Linked DNA regions of Stegostoma tigrinum. The protein of the gene in region 1 interacts with the protein of each later gene in a pairwise test. Links are inferred from orthologs where the notes say so. Each region holds a gene or a part of one and is shown in the gene's direction. Other genes may lie near its edges. The genes, in order: med31 and selenbp1.

Evidence for each region.
Region 2: the proteins of med31 (region 1) and selenbp1 interact in a two-hybrid assay, tested with the Homo sapiens proteins (2 studies listed by BioGRID and IntAct). The link is inferred for Stegostoma tigrinum from reciprocal best matches to the Homo sapiens genes MED31 and SELENBP1.

The regions. Positions count from the first base shown.
Region 1 is NC_081380.1:46,203,365-46,211,334, forward strand, and holds the start of med31 (mediator of RNA polymerase II transcription subunit 31), read left to right. Parts: upstream 1-4,476; 5' UTR 4,477-4,633; coding exon 4,634-4,724; exon of another isoform or gene 4,725-4,862; intron 4,863-5,483; exon of another isoform or gene 5,484-5,575; coding exon of another isoform or gene 5,576-5,615; intron 5,616-6,182; exon of another isoform or gene 6,183-6,212; coding exon of another isoform or gene 6,213-6,258; intron 6,259-6,584; coding exon 6,585-6,659; intron 6,660-7,149; coding exon 7,150-7,246; intron 7,247-7,970. UniProt on the Homo sapiens protein: Component of the Mediator complex, a coactivator involved in the regulated transcription of nearly all RNA polymerase II-dependent genes.
Region 2 is NC_081400.1:4,884,247-4,892,595, forward strand, and holds the start of selenbp1 (methanethiol oxidase), read left to right. Parts: upstream 1-4,854; 5' UTR 4,855-4,952; intron 4,953-4,987; exon of another isoform or gene 4,988-5,005; intron 5,006-5,061; exon of another isoform or gene 5,062-5,224; intron 5,225-6,183; 5' UTR 6,184-6,243; coding exon 6,244-6,247; intron 6,248-8,349. UniProt on the Homo sapiens protein: Catalyzes the oxidation of methanethiol, an organosulfur compound known to be produced in substantial amounts by gut bacteria. Selenium-binding protein which may be involved in the sensing of reactive xenobiotics in the cytoplasm.

The DNA.
Region 1 (7,970 bases):
AGCATCTTTGAACATGATATTTCATAGAATCCCTACAGGGTGGAAACAGGCCCTTCGGCCCAACAAGCCCACGCCGCCCCTTGAAGCATCCCACCCAGACCTATCCCCCTATAACCCACACACCCCTGAACACTACAGGCAATTTAGCATGGCCGATCCACCTAGCCTGCACATCTTTGGATTGTGGGAGGAAACCCGCACACACACATGGGGAGAATGTGCAAACTCCACACAGACAGTCGCCCGAGGGTGGATTTGAAAACGGGTCCCTGGCCCTGTGAGGCAGCAGTGCTAACCACTGAGCCACCGTACCGCCCCAAATCTTAGAGGATCGAAGGCTGAAATGGTTTGGGCAGGGGTGATATGGAGCTTGGGACCCTCTCTGCTGCTGAAAGCCACTAGTGCTGGGACGAATAAAATCTGTACAAGAACAGCACTCCAAGGGTGTGCAGAAAGACAGGGACTCACTCACCTGAAAGATTTGAAAACAAGGACGAGAATTTTTAGAATTTATTTAACTGGGAGTGAATGTAGGACAGCGAGTACAGGAAGTATGGGACTCAGTAAGAGTTAGGTGTTGGCAGCTAAGTATCAGATGAAGTGAGGAGAGTTCATAGAACAGGGAAGGTTACGGATGAGAAAGACAGGAGTGAGGGGATCAGCAGCAGATGGGGCAAACTCAAGGGGCATGTTTACAGCAGAAAAAGTCAGCAACGCAGACAGGCATGGAGTCAGAGGTTCAGCTCAGGGTCAAATAGGACAGTGAGGTACACGCTCACAAAGCACATTAAGTTAAAACACAGGGTAATTTCTCTCCAAATTGCAGGCTCAAAACATAAATACACATTAAACAGCACACTGCAAGCAGTTACAGCTAACTGCATGACAAGACTCTGAATCATATTTAATCGCAGGGGACAATGCTCAAAGTAATCAGTAAAAGAACAGGAGTAACGCAAGAAGAAATGTTTTCATACAGTGAATGGCACGGCACGGTGGCTCAGTGGTTAGCACTGCAGCCAAACAGCACCAGGGACCCGGTTTTGATTCCGGCCTCGGGCGATTGTACGGAGTTTGCACATTCTCCCTGTGTCTGCGTGGGGTTCCCCCGGGTGCTCCGGTTTCCTCCCACAGTCCGAAGGTGTGCAGGCTAGGGTGGATTGGCCATGCTAAATGCAGGGACAGAATAGAGGATGGGCCTGGTTCTTCAGAGGGTTACTGTGGACTTGCTGGGTGAAGGGCCTGCTCCCATACCATCGGGGAATTCTACAAATGCATCGCCTCAGTGAGTGGAGTAGGCAGGTTCAATCAAGGCAGATGATGATTGTTCCTTTGAAGAGGCAGAGCAGACATGATGGGCCAAATGGCTTCCTCTTGAAGCTTAATACTTCTGCACATGTGAGGTGCATGAGAGTGGTACCAGGTGATCATTTGGGTAGCTAGTATACACAGGCCAGGCTCAATGGCCTCCACCTGAGCATGGGGCAGGCTGAGTTCAGCAACGACCGGGAAATTGAAACACTGGGCTGAAGGAGATGGCAAACACTACATTTAGACGACAGAGAAAGAGTCAGAAAGTAGGGGGCCTCCTGCTGGAGTGACATTCCCTCTAGGCCAGGTGGACAGGTAGATAGATTGTTGGCGAGTGTAGCCATCACTGGGGGCAGACAGGAAAATGCAGAGGACACAACCTTATTGCCTAGCAGAGCAGATATGAGGGATCGAATGGCCTCATTTGTACACAACAGTCCCGAGAAAGGCCCTTCAGCCCATTGTGAGGACACTAGTCACAGAGTTGTGCAGCACAGAAATGGCCCCTTTGAACCAGCTTTCCTAAACTAAACCAGTCCCACTTGCCTCGGTTTGGCCCATATCCCTCGAAACCTTTCCTATTGATGTACCTGTCCAAATGTTGTAGCTACATCCACATCAACAACTTCCTCAGGCTGTTCATCCCACACATGCACCACCCTCTGTGTGAAACATCTGTGCCTCAGGTCTGTTTTAAATCCTTCTCCTCTCACCTTAAAAATATTCCCTCTCGTTTTGAACTCCCAACGCCGGGGAAAAGATCTCGGCTACTCAACCAATCCATGCCTCATGATTTTACAAACTTCTACAAGGTCACCCCCTCAACCTCCTACACTCCAGGGAAAAAAGCCCCATCCTATCCAGCCTCACCTTATAACTCAAATCCTTCATTCCCAGTAACATCCTGGCAAATCTTTTCTGAACCCTCTCCAGTTTGATAATATCCTTTCTAAAGCAGGGCGACCACAGTACTCCAGAAGTGGCCTCACCAACACCCTGTACAAGCTTAACATGACGTCCCAACTCCGATACTCAAAGGTCTGAGAAAAAAAAGGCAAGCGTGCTAAATGCCTTCTCAACCAGCCTGTCCCTATATTAGTCTGGCACCCCCTCAGAAACACTGAGCCTTAATCTTATTTGTTCAAGCATCAGGTATGATCCAAATAAACTCCGCTGTGCTGCTCACACTCGGTAGGTGTGTCTCAGCAGATTCATTCCAAGCTGAACCCAGTGTGTCCTGGGCTTTTAAACCAGCCAACTGGGTCATTGCGTGGTGAATGTCAGTGATCAGCTCCCTTGACATGAGAATGTTGTCTTGAGTCACAACAAAAATATTAACACCTCAAAACTAGACAGGCCACAAAACATTTCCCACAAATTGTACCGAAAGAATCACCTTCAATGCTAGAAAATGTCCCAGGGCCTAATTGAAAACACAAAGGTGGAGCGAGAGATGATGACAAAACCTTAATGTAGTCCAAAGGATTGGCATTTAAGATATGGGAAGGCCGGAGATTCCAGAGGTGGAAGGTGAAAAAATGCAGGAAACATTCAACATGCCTGACAACATCCACAGAGGGAGAGGGAGAGGGAGAGGGAGAGGGAGAGGGAGAGGGAGAGGTTGGGGGTGGGGGGGGACGGTGGTGAACAAACTGCACGGAAGCTGGTATCCCATCACATTTATTTACATGTGCACTGTGCACAGGCTGTGGTCAGCCAGCTCCTCTAAATCCCCTGTTTATGTTGTTGAGCCAGGGCTTCCTAATTGGCCCAGGTTAACAACCCCAACCAAGGACCTCATAGTCAATGAGATCCACCTGGTTCCAGTCACTATAGGAGGTAAATGTTTGACACCCAGACTCTGCTTTAGAATACCACAAACACAACAGTATTTGGAATTACCCCCATCCTATCTCTGACCATAAGGGTGTAGGAGCAGAAAGAGGCCATTTGACCCATCAAGTCTGTTATAGAATCCCTAGAGTGTGGAAACAGGCCATTTGGCCTAACAAACCTACAATGACCATCTAAATAGTATCCCACTCATACCCAAACCCCTACCCTATCCGTGTAACCCTGCATTTCCCACGGCTAACCCATCTAACCTACACATCCCTGGGCACAAGGGGCAACTTAGCATGGACAATCCACCTAAGATATGGAAAGAGGAAACCCATTCAGACATGGGGAGAATGTGAAAACTCCACACAGGCAGTCACCCAAGGCTGGAATCGAACCCAGGTCACAGGCGCCACGAGGCAGCAGCGCTAATCACTGAACTACCACACTGCCCCTGTCAGCTCAGCTAGTCAATGTGATGATGGCCTATCCTTAACTCCACTTCCCTGTCATTTCCCCAGATCCCTCTGTTCTCTAACCCTTCCCAGAAACATGCATCCTGTACAGGAAACCCTGAGCCTGCATTCACCACATTCTCTCAACATGTTCAGCGCAGTAACACAGTCATCCCAAGCCCAGACTCCTTCTGCATCAGGGTCCCTCTGATAGACATAACTGCCCCACCTTCCCCTCTTTCCCAGGGGCAATGCTTCAGCCCAGGGGGCAGCACCACCTCCTCCTGAGGGTCCTCCAGCCCAGGGGACAGCACCACCTCCTCCTGATGATCCTCCAGCCCAGGGGGCAGCACCACCTCCTCCTAATTATCCTCCAGCCTAGGGGGCAGCACCACCTCCTCCTAATTATCCTCCAGCCTAGGGGGCAGCACCACCTCCTCCTGATGATCCTCCAGCCCAGGGGGCAGCGCCACCTCCTCCTGATGATCCTCCAGCCCAGGGGGCAGCACCACCTCCTCCTAATTATCCTCCAGCCTAGGGGGCAGCACCACCTCCTCCTGAGGGTCCTCCAGCCTAGGGGGCAGCACCACCTCCTCCTAATTATCCTCCAGCCCAGGGGGCAGCATCATATCCTCCTGATTATCCTCCAGCCCAGAGGGCAGCACCACCTCCTCCTGATTATCCTCCAGCCTAGGGGGCAGCACCACCTCCTCCTGATGGTCCTCCAGCCCAGAGGGCAGCACCATCTCCTCCTGATTATCCTCCAGCCTAGGGGGCAGCACCACCTCCTCCTGATGGTCCTCCAGCCAAGAGGGCAGCACCACCTCCTCCTGATTATCCTCCAGCCCAGGGGGCAGCACTGACTCCCACTGTAAGTCGGAGTGGAATTACTTCAGTTGGCAGCTGCTATCGGGAGAAGTGACCCGCTTGCGAGCAGCTCGTTAGTTCTATTCATTCTGGTAGTTTGAACTGACGAGAAGGTAGGTGCTGTGACTAGTACCGATTAAGAGAAGGGTCAGACCTGCTTAATGGAGGCTGCTGTTTACACCGAATCTCTTCGAGCGGGAGGCGGAGAGAAGAAACAAACAATGGCGGCTGCACCAGCCACCATGGAGACAGGTAAGGAGCGGAAGTTAGCGGCCACGTGATAGCGAGCGGGGCGGAAATATCTGGCTCCATGATTGGGCGGGGCGGAAGTAAGGGCCTTCTCGTTCACTCTTGAAACTGGGAGAGAGGGACGTTTGCTGCTGACTCTGGGTAAAGATAACAGTAACGGAAAGAGGCAAATCAGCCCCTTGAGTGGTTGGTAGTACAGTTTCTATGGGCCGAATGGCCTTTACTACGATGCTAAGAGCCTGTTTTGGCACTAACTGAGACAGTGGCTGTTCTGTACTCTATCTCCATTACACGTAGTGCTCCTCTGTTGTAGCACTCTAGTGATCTCAGATACAAAACGGTTGATTGGGCCCTCGAATCAACTCCCTTTTTTGTAGGGTAGAGATCCACACATGCCTCCTCTGCTGACTAACCTGGTTCTGAATTTAAGATAATGCCCAGTAAACCTGAACTCAACTCCAAACATTGAAATGTTTTTCCTAGCGAGTTTTGAGAAGATTTGTAACTCAGGTTGAGTTTCTGGATCTTCACCGGGGGCTCATTGACGATGTTACCTAGTTTTCAGACGTCTCGTCACCAAACTAACCTTCCAGCTCAGCGAGCAAACTCACATCCAGATGTTTTTCCTTATCAACTTGTTTCAAAATACTCCATCAAAATCACATCTTTAACATGCTGCATTCCACAGAATACAGGCTTTGTTTATTTCACCAAACTTGGTCATTGGCCCCTACTGATTAAACAATACCTTTGTTCCTCCAGCTAAGCTCCTAAAAAAAATTTATTCATGGGATGTGGACCTTGCTGGTTGGTGAGCATTTAATGCCTGCCTCCTAGATGCTGTGGTGAAGCTTATGGTGAGCTGCCTTCTTGGGCCACTCCAGTTCCTTTGGGGTAGGTACATCCAAAGTACTGTAAAATAGAGGGGCTTTTATGTAGGAGTTTAGGCATCAATGTATGGACACTCGCATCACACCTGAGTTTGACCTAGTGTTTATCTGATACATTTGTTCCTTCCCACGTGCATGTGCCCTCTCACACCACTAGGAATTGCAAGAGTATGACTGCAGCTTAATATGTATCCTTGACTCTAGCTGGGGCCTTTGTGATTCACTTGAGGTCCCTCCCTGAGCTCATACCGAGGCTGAGCTTCCTGGTCTGGTGGTATATTTTAACATTGCACCAAGCATTGAACTGGGCCTTGCATATTCAAGGTCATCAATCTCCATGTGATTAAGTCATACAATGGATTCAAACTATCGTAAAACAAAATTAAAAAAAACTACAGCATATAGCTGGAGAATCTCAGCAGGCTTGGCAGCATCTGTGGAGAGAAAACAGAGTTAACATTTCCAGTATAGTCACCCTTCTTCAGAAGTTCTGAAGTGTTGAGTTCCCCAGCAGTTTTTTTTTGTTTCAGATTTCCAGCATTCACAGAGTTTTTTTTTGTTTTATCCGAAGGTAAATAAGATAAGAATTCCTGGAGAAGATATGATCTACGTTTATTGTTTGGATTTGAAGTCATGCTGCAATGATAGTACGTTGTCCTGCGAAGCGTGCCGTGTGTACATTGGCTGCCACTTCCTTGATTGCAAAATTAAAAAAGATAGTAGCAGCAGGAAGAGGTCACTTGAACCGTCGAGCTTACTCTGCCTGTCAGTAAGACCCTGGCTGATCTGACTAAGGCTTCAACTTGACTTGCCTGTCTGACCTTAACCCGTAAACCCCCTTCTCAAACAAAAATCATTTTACTTTATATTTTATCTTATTTGTGATGACTTTGGTTGAATTTATGCCTTAAGGTAATGAGTAACTTGTCCTTTCCCCCCTCTGCTCTCTCTCTCTCACTCTCTCTACCCCCAGAGGAACAGGCAAAGCTACGATTTGAGATGGAGCTGGAGTTTGTGCAGTGTCTGGCGAACCCGAACTATCTGAACTGTAAGTGCCAGTGGGATTCCCCTGGACCATTGGCCAGTTGCTGTTTCCAGCAGTGACATGGTAAAGTAAGAAACCACTGAGCTTCATCACAGCTACCGACAGGACGCTTTCTCCCTTCTGCATGAGGCAGCACATCAGTGTTATCGCCAGCCTCTTGAAGCATGTCTGTGATTGAACCAGACTTGGACCCATAGATAGAGAGGGAAGTGAGTCTCTTCTGATGTAACTTTGAAACGAAGCCCTGGGTGGGGAAGGGGAAGTGCAGGAGGCACTGAGCACCAAAGTGTCTGCTCCAGTGAAGCGTAGATGCCATGCACCTGAAGAGCGTAATAGACCCACTCACTTTGATGCAGTAATGTCTGTAATGACAAGGAGCTACCTCCCCATGCCCTGGGGATGGTACTCGCCAGTTAACAGTATCATTCTCTCTTCAACATTACCTTAGTGCTGGTGACAATACCGTAATTTTCTTTTTGTTTCAATGTGGTAGTTCTGGCACAACGAGGGTACTTCAGAGACCGAACGTTTGTCAATTACTTCAAGTATCTCCTGTACTGGAAGGAGCCAGAATATGCCAAGTACCTGAAGTAAGTATCCACCCCACTGGACAGCTTTTCACAGTAATCTTTGTCGTGGGATCAATATCCACTCAGTGGTTAGCACTGCAGCCTCACAGCACCAGGGACAAGGGTTCAATTCCACCCTCGGGCGACTGTCTGTGTGGAGTTTGCACATTCTCCCCGTGTCTGCGTGGGTTTCTTCCGGGTGCTCCGGTTTCCTCCCACAGTCCAAAGATGTGCAGGCTAGGTGGATCGGCCATGCTAAATTGCCTGTAGTGTTCAGGGGTGTGTGGGTTATAGGGGGATGGGTCTAGATAGGATGCTGCAAGGGCGGTGTGGACTTGTTGGGCCGAAGGGCCTGTTCCCACACTGTCGGCATTCTGTGATTCGTATCCAGGATAGCCCCAAATGCCATACATTCCATTCCTGGCCTGAAGGCGTCTGCTGTTCACTGGGATGAAATGCATTCCGGTACATTATACAACCGAGTCTGTCAGAGTAATCTCAGAGGAACAGCACCCCCATCAATCACTCCCAGGGACAGGGACAGCACGGGGTTAGATACAGAGTAACGCTCCCTCTACACTGTCCCCCATCAAACACTCCCAGGGACAGGGATAGCACGGGGTTAGATACAGAGTAACGCTCTCTACACTGTCCCCCATCAAACCCTCCCAGGGCAGGGACAGCACGGGGTTAGATACAGGGTAAAGCTCTCTCTACACTGTTCCCCCCATCAAACACCCCCAGG
Region 2 (8,349 bases), on another chromosome or scaffold:
GTTGTCCACACTGCAGGGATTATAAGACCATAAGACACAGGAGCAGAAATTGGGCCATTCGGTCCATCGAGTCTGCTCCGCCATTCAATCATGGCTGATAAGTTCGTCAGCCCCATTCTCCTGCTTCCTCCCCATAACCCTTGATCCCCTCGACAATCAAGAACCTATCTATCCCAGTCTTACCATAATTTGTGCTTTTTTTAAATAAAGGGAGGTTGAGACAGAGGTCCTGATTTGTCTGCTCAGACCCAATAATGTGAGGCCTTGATGATTGTAGGGTTGGAACAATAGAAGCATCCTGAATGGGTGGGGCCAAGCTCCTGTGGATCCAGGATTTTTAACTTGAGCTTTCTGTTCCTGCTTGCAACTGAATGTAGAAGCTTTTATTCCTCTCTCTCTTTCTCTTCGTCACAACAAAATACTTCCTGCTGCTAGAATTGCACATGACAGAATCTGTTCTACTGAATTTGCCTCTGCTAAGGGCGTTACCATGTTGGCACTGTCACTGTTTAGCAGCTAACTAATCGATTAGTTTTCCAATAGTGTTGTTACTCCACTTCCCTCTTTCTTTCATCTGTGTTTTAATTAGCATGGACGAATAAAGTGTGCCCTGGGCTTGAGACGGGCAGATTGCAACGCCTAATGCGTACACTGTGTTCTGCTACAAGACGCATTCCATCGACACACGTTGGCCGTAACGCACTGACCATTTTGGGGTGGGGGGGTTGGTGCTGTTTCTAAAATGACGAACTCGCGGTTAGGTATAACGGAGGTGCCATCGGTTGCCGGGAGTGGGGGTGGGGTCACGTGACCGTTTTGCGGGAAGGAGTCTCCACGCCAGCGTGGCGCGATCATTTCTGTTTGGCGTGAAGCACTTTCTGCGAGAGGTACAGTACTCGGCGACGGCGACGTGGGGAAGGATGGCCACCCTGCGCTCACAACCTCAAAACCCCTCACCCTGACAATTTTTCGAGGTAAGCTGTGCAATTTACCTTTATTTCATCATTAGATGCGAATTAAACTCGTATTCTACTAAGAAAAGTTTAGGATCTAAATTATCTGCTTACATTTTGAGTAAGTTTTGCGCTGGGCCATAATACAAATGAAAGTCTCCCTGAGCGTCCTGCAGCTCCTCACGGTAAAAATGTTCAGTTTCATCTCATAATGTTGGTTCGTGGGTTACATTTATATTCGTAACAAACCTGTACAGGCCGATTTCGTACTTGGTTATTGTGAGATTGGGCCCTTGTTTTAACCTCGTCCGTCCTAAATCGCAGACTTTGTGAAGCCACACTTTCCGTCAGACCAGGGCACTTAAGCTGCAACAGAACGCCAATGCTTCACTGGAGGGGGCACGCTGGCGATGTTACCCAGCAGGGTGGCGAAATATTTACAACCACACCGACCGGCTCGGCGATCAAGGCTACAACCCCCAAACTTCGAACAAGCTGGCTCCAGGCCCTCACTGAGATTCCCTGCGGACGTTTATCCGAACCAGTCCAAATCGAGTTCACAATCCAACACTTTCAAACGACTGTGAATACACAAATTTATGTGAAGACAGAAGCGAGATAGCCAATAAACACCCTCACCTCTGTCTTGGAGCTGTGCAGCACGGAAACGGGTCCTTCAGCCCAGCTCATCTGCACTGACCCAGATATCTTAAACTAATCCAGCCCCATGTGCCAGCAATCGGCCCCAATCCCTCTAAACCCTTCCTATCCATGTTCCCATCCTCCGCTCAGTTCGCAATAAACAACTGCACCTCCCAGTCGCAAACCATTTCCACTCCCCCTCCCATTCTTTAGATGACATGTCCATCATGGGCCTCCTGCACTGCCACAATGATGCCACCCGAAGGTTGCAGGAACAGCAACTCATATTCCGCTTGGGAACCCTGCAGCCTAATGGTATCAATGTGGACTTCACCAGCTTCAAAATCTCCCCTCCCCCCACCGCATCCCAAACCCAGCCCAGCTCTTCCCCTCCCCCCACTGCATCCCAAAACCAGCCCAGCTCTTCCCCTCCACCCACTGCATCCCAAAACCCGCCCAGTTCTTCCCCTCCCCCCACTGCATCCCAAAACCAGCCCAGCTCATCCCCTCCACCCACTGCATCCCAAAACCAGTCCAGCCTGTCTCTGCCTCCCTAACCTGTTCTTCCTCTCACCCAACCCTTCCTCCCACCTCAAGCCGCACCTCCATCTCACACCTACTAACCTCATCCCACCTCCTTGACCTGTCCGTCTTCCCTGGACTGACCTATCCCCTCCCTACCTCCCCACCTATACTCTCCTCTCCACCTATCTTCTTTTCTCTCCATCTTCGGTCCGCCTCCCCCTCTCTCCCTATTTATTCCAGTTCCCTCACCCCATCCCCCTCTCTGATGAAGGGTCTAGGCCCGAAACATCAGCTTTTGTGCTCCTGAGATGCTGCTGGGCCTGCTGTGTTCATCCAGCCCCACACTTTGTTATCTCGGATTCTCCAGCATCTGCAGTTTCCATTATCACATGTCCCCATCCTGATGCCTTTTAAATGCTGTAACTGTACCAGCCCCACCCACTTCCTCTGGCAGCTCCTTCCATACCCGCACCACCCTCTGTGTGAAAAAGTTGCCGCTCAGGTCCCTTTCCCTCTCACCTTAAACCTATGTCCCTCTAGTTTTGGAATCCCCCTACCCCTGGGGGGAAAGACCCCTATCAGTGCCCCTTCTGATGTTATAAACCTCGTTAAGATCACCTCCAACACTGCAAGGAAAACAGCCCCAGGACCTCCCTGTAGCTCAAATCCTCCAACATCGTTGTAAATCTTTTCTGAACCCTTTCACGTTTAGCAACATTTTTCCAACGCCAGGGATTCCAGGCCTGTACATCTCCAGCACCAGCTTCCTGCTCGTATAACTCCCTCCATGAATGATAACAGCACGTGATCCATTTACCTGCTGAACTACCCTGTCCCTGCCAGCCTTCTGGGATCTGTGGCTAAGCTGCCCGCTGTTTCTCTGAGCAGTCTGGTGTCCTGCCAAGCTTTCATAATGCGGTGTCGAGCTATCTAATGGACCCAGTTTCAGAAACAGTCATACACGGGCTTGCTGGCCCAACAGTGGGCGGCTCAGCGGTTAGTACCACTGACTCACAGTGCCAGGGACCCGGGTTCGATCCCAACCTCAGGCCACTGTCTGTGTGGAGTTTGCACATTCTCGCCGTGTCTGCGTGGGTTTCCACCGAGTGCTCCAGTTTCCTCCCACAGTCCACAGATGTGCAGGTTAGGGTGGATTGGCCGTGTTAAATTGTCCCGTAGTGCCCAGGGATGTGCGGGTTAGGGTGGATTGGCCGTGTTAAATTGTCCCATAGTGCCCAGGGATGTGTGGGTTAGGGTGGATTGGCCGTGCTAAATTGTCCCGTAGTGCCCAGGGATGTGCGGGTTAGGGTGGATTGGCCGTGCTAAATTGTCCCGTAGAGCCCAGGTATGTGTGGGTTAGGGTGGATTGGCCATGCTAAATTGTCCCGTAGTGCCCAGGGATGTGCGGGTTAGGGTGGATTGGCCGTGCTAAATTGTCCCGTAGTGCCCAGGGATGTGCAGGTTAGGGTGGGTTGGCCGTGCTAAATTGCCTTCTAGTGCCCAGGGATGTGCGGGTTAGGGTGGGTTGGCCGTGCTAAATTGTCCCGTAGAGCCCAGGTATGTGTGGGTTAGGGTGGATTGGCCGTGCTAAATTGTCCCGTAGTGCCCAGGGATGTGCGGGTTAGGGTGGGTTGGCCGTGCTAAATTGTCCCGTAGTGCCCAAGGATGTGTGGGTTAGGGTGGGTTGGCCGTGCTAAATTGTCCCGTAGTGCCCAGGGATGTGCGGGTTAGGATGGACTGGCCGTGCTAAATTGTCTCATAGTGCCCAGGGATGTGTGGGTTAGGGTGGGTTGGCCGTGCTAAATTGTCCCGTAGTGCCCAGGGATGTGCGGGTTAGGGTGGGTTAGCCGTGCTAAATTGTCTCATAGTGCCCAGGGATGTGTGGGTTAGGGTGGGTTGGCCATGGGAAATGCAGGGTTACAAGGAAAGAGTTGGGGTTATGAGTCTGGGTGGGATAATCTTCAGAGGAGCAATGTGGACTTGATGGGCTGAATGACCTGCTACCACATCATAGGGATTGTATCCAGCGGTTTTGCCTCCAAATTACAGAACATTCTGGAGACTGTTACTCTGATGTTCTGGCATTTGCGGCAAAGTCAGCATCAGGCAACCTTGGTTCTCTCTGATGGCTTGGCAGACACAGCTTGCTCAGAGAAAGAAAAAAGATTCTTGGGAAGTTTCCCTGTTCAATCAGTCTGATAGAGTTCACCCTGAACTCAGCATCACCCCGGGGAAAGGCACTCAACTCTCCAGCCTCAGCAGTAGTTCCACATTGAAGGTTACCATTCAGTCCATCACTTTGGTGCTGGCTCTCCAAGTGCTCAGATTACTTTGGTATCCTCCAATCCCCTCCTCCCCACTGCCGTAATCCCTATGCAAGTTTCCCTGGAAGGCCAGGCCTGCCTCAACATTATCTGACAAAGCTGGACCGTTGTTTGATACAGAATCCGCCTCAGCTCCCTGCTCTTGCATTCTATAGCCTCCTGTCCCCTCCCCTCCCCAGTTAGGAGGACGCAGTATGCTTTATTGGCTGGGCTGCCTCCTGGGTCTGCGCCTCTTCCTGCGCCGCCAATGTTGTCTCCAGGACGGAAACCGTTCCCATTTGAAGGTGGGAAGGGGCCAGGTCCCTGCAAACAACATTGATGTTCGAAATACTGATGACGCAGCTCAACCGTTGGTGGCACGAGCTTCCTGCTGTGTGTTACCCCACCCCAGCCTCACCGGAGCAGGGGGCGTCCCGAGAGTGTAGGGCCGGCCAGCTCGAGCACCCGGGGGTTGTGGGATGGAGGTGTTTCCTGCGGTAACGCTGAGTCTCTGTTCTACTGGCCAACAGTGAGGAGCTGGTCCTTCATGTTGCCTGGAGCCTCAGCAGGGACCTGCAAAGAGTTAAAACTGTTTGCGCTGACTTTAATCGTGTGCAGGGAAACCTTGCGTGCCAAAACGCTGTGTTGCAACGGCTCAGCTTCTCTTGGAGAGTGTACTTTGATCAATCAGACTGTGTGTGCGTGTGAGTGTGTGCGTGTGAGTGTGTGCGTGTGAGTGTGTGCATGCTTATTGACTCGGTCTCTCCCTGTTTGTCTCGACCAGTCTGTCCGTGCTGCCTTGTGAGTTGACATGTTTGCTCTCTGTGTCTCTATCACACTGTCTCTCAGTGTTATTCCATTGCACTGGCTTGTTCTCCCCCTCCAACACTCTCTGTTTTGCTCTGTTCTCACTCTGTTAACCTCTGCATTAGCTCTGTCTTAGTCACTGTATCTCTATCATTCTCTTCCTCTCGCTATCAGGCTATCTCTCTCTCACTCTCTTTCTCGCTCTCTATTTGTATCTCTCTCACTATCAGGTTGTCACTCTCTTTCTCTCTCTATCACACTCACTCTCTATCACTCTTTCTCTCTATCACACTCTCTCTCTATCACTCTCTCCCTCTCTCTACCACTTTCTTTCCCTCTCTGTCACCCTCCTTCTTTCTATCACTCTGTCTCTCTATCACTCACTTTCTCTATCACTCACTCTCTATTCTCTATCACTCTCTCTCTCTGTCTATCACTCTCTCTCTATCACCTACTCACTCTATCACTCACTATTTCTGTCACTCTTTCTCTCTATCACTCTTTATCACATTTTCTCTCTCTATCACTCTCTCTATCACTTTCCCACTCTCTCTCTATCACTGTTTTTCTCTCTATCGCTCACTCTCTCTATTCTCTATCACACTTTCTCTCTCTCTCACTCCCACTCTGTCACTTTCTTTCTCTATTACCCTCTCTATCACTCCCCCTCTCTATCAGTCTCCCTCTCTCTATTACTCGCTCCTTCTATCACTGTCTCTACCACTCTCTCTCTAGCACTCACTTTCTCTCTATCATTCCCTCTCTCTCTCTATCACTCTCTTTCTCTGTCACTCACTCTTTCTATTTCTATCACTCGCTCTATCACACTCTCTCTATCACTCTATCACTTGCTCTTTCTATCACTCTCTCTACCACTCTGTCACTCTCCCCCTTTCCCAGCCCTGCCCCAGCCTCACGCCACTCCCCCTGACACCTCCTTGTTTATTTTGCAGGGGAGCCAACAGGAGTAAGGCCCTGAGCCAACAGGAGTAAGGCCCCGAGCCTGGTGTGACATGGGTAAGTTGCTGTTGGTGGCAGTTCGCACAGAGCGACCATCCCCGTGCGCTTCCAGCTGTCGCCCCTGGCCTGTGCCGTAACTCCTATGGTCAGACCGAGCGTCGCCAGCAAAGGGATAGGCCCAGGTTCAGGTGGGGCAGGGGGGTGCGCGAACGGCCCACCCTGCCAGGTTGTGGGGGCTAGCACTGTGCAGATGGGCCAAATGGCCACTCTGCTTGCACCGTCATGACATGGAACTGGGGGGGGCTTTTGAGGGTCGGGGGTGGGGATTGCTAACATGGAGTTGGATGCGTTATCCTGGGTAGAAAACTCCAGAAGATTCCGGAAAAGAGAGCTTGGCAGAGAGCACCATTGCAAAGGCTTTATCAAAGCCAGAAACCTGTTACTGGGTGGGAGGGCAGGTCTGGGTGATGGCCTTTCTTATCGATCAGCGTCTTCCTTCCGAGATGGAGACACCCTGCGTTGTGTTAGCGCCTGTCCTCAGCTGCTCCTGGAACGTTTCAGGCCCAGTCCTCAGCTAGCTTTCGAAAGGACCGGCCCTGCCCTAATGCGCACAGCAAGCTCCCACAGGCAGCAATCCAGCCATATGCTGCCACCCCACCCCGCCTCACACCCCCACCACCACCACACCAACTCCCTGAGCCTACCTTCACCCAGGCGCCCAATCGCAGCTCAGGGTCGCTCATACACACAGTCAAAGTGGCCACAGTTTAAAGGCTCACTCTAAAAGATGGCAACTTTAACAGCGCCCGCTCCCTCAGCACTGACCCTTCGACAGTGCCCTCTCCCTCAGCGCTGACCTTCCGACAGCTCCCACTCCCTCAGCACTGACCCTCCGACAGCGCCCGCTCCCTCAGCACTGACCCTCCGACAGCGCCCGCTCCCTCAGCGCTGACCCTCCGACAGCGCCCGCTCCCTCAGCGCTGACCCTCCGACAGCGCCCGCTCCCTCAGCGCTGACCCTCCGACAGCGCCCGCTCCCTCAGCACTGACCCTCCGACAGCGCCCGCTCCCTCAGCACTGACCCTCCGACAGCGCCCGCTCCCTCAGCGCTGACCCTCCAACAGCGCCCGCTCCCTCAGCGCTGACCCTCTGATATTACACTACCTGCTGTTTGGTGCCCAGGCTGTTTCCTCACAGATTGGAGTCCATGTTGTGTTCAGTTTTCGGTAAGTGCAGGTTCCAACTGTAACCAAAACGTGTAAATCGGTCACTGTTCAGTTACCCACTTCCTCCACCCTCTCAGCACACACTGCAGGGTTAGGGGTTAGATTTAGGTAAGGGTTGGGGTAGGGTTAGTGTTAGCGATGGTTTAGAGTTTGGGTTAGGGGTTAAATGGGTCAGGGTTAGTATCAGGGTCTGGGTTAGGGTTCAAATTTGGGTTGGGATTAGGAATTGGATTAGGATTAGCATTGGGGTTAAGGTTGGGGTAGGGGTGAGGGTTAGGTTTCGGGTCAGAGTCAGAGTTAGGGTTAAAGGTTAGAATTAGGGTTAGGGTTAAGGCCTAGGGTTGGGGTTAAGGTTAAGGTTAGGGTTCGGGTTAGGTTTAGGATCAGGATTAGGGTCAGGGCCAGGGTTAGGTTCAGAGTTAAGGGTTACGGTCAGGACCAGGGTTAGGTTTAGGGTTAGGATTAGGGTCAGGACCAGGGTTAGGGTCAGGGCCAGGGTTAGGTTTAGGTTAGGATTAGGGTCAGGGCCAGTGTTAGGTTTAGGGTTAGTATTAGATTCAGGGCCAGGGTTAGGTTTAGGGTTAAGGGTTAGGCTTAGAGTTAAGGGTTAGGGTCAGGGCAAGTGTTGGGGTTCGGGGTTAAATGCGATAGGGTGAGAGTTAAGGGTTAGGGTCAGGTTTAGGGCAAGGAGTTAGGGTTAAGGGTCAGTGTCAGCGTTAGGGTTAGGTTTAGAGTTAAGTGTTAGGATTAGCATCACAGTTAGGATTAGGATGAGGGTTAGGGTCAGGTTTAGGGTTCAAGTTAGGGTTAGGGCTAAGGGTCAGGGTCAGTTAGGTTTAGGTTTAGAGTTAAGGGTTCGGATTCGGATCACGGTTAGCATTGGGGTGAGGGTTAAGGGTCAGGGGTCAGGGTCAGTGTTAGGGTTAGGTTTAGA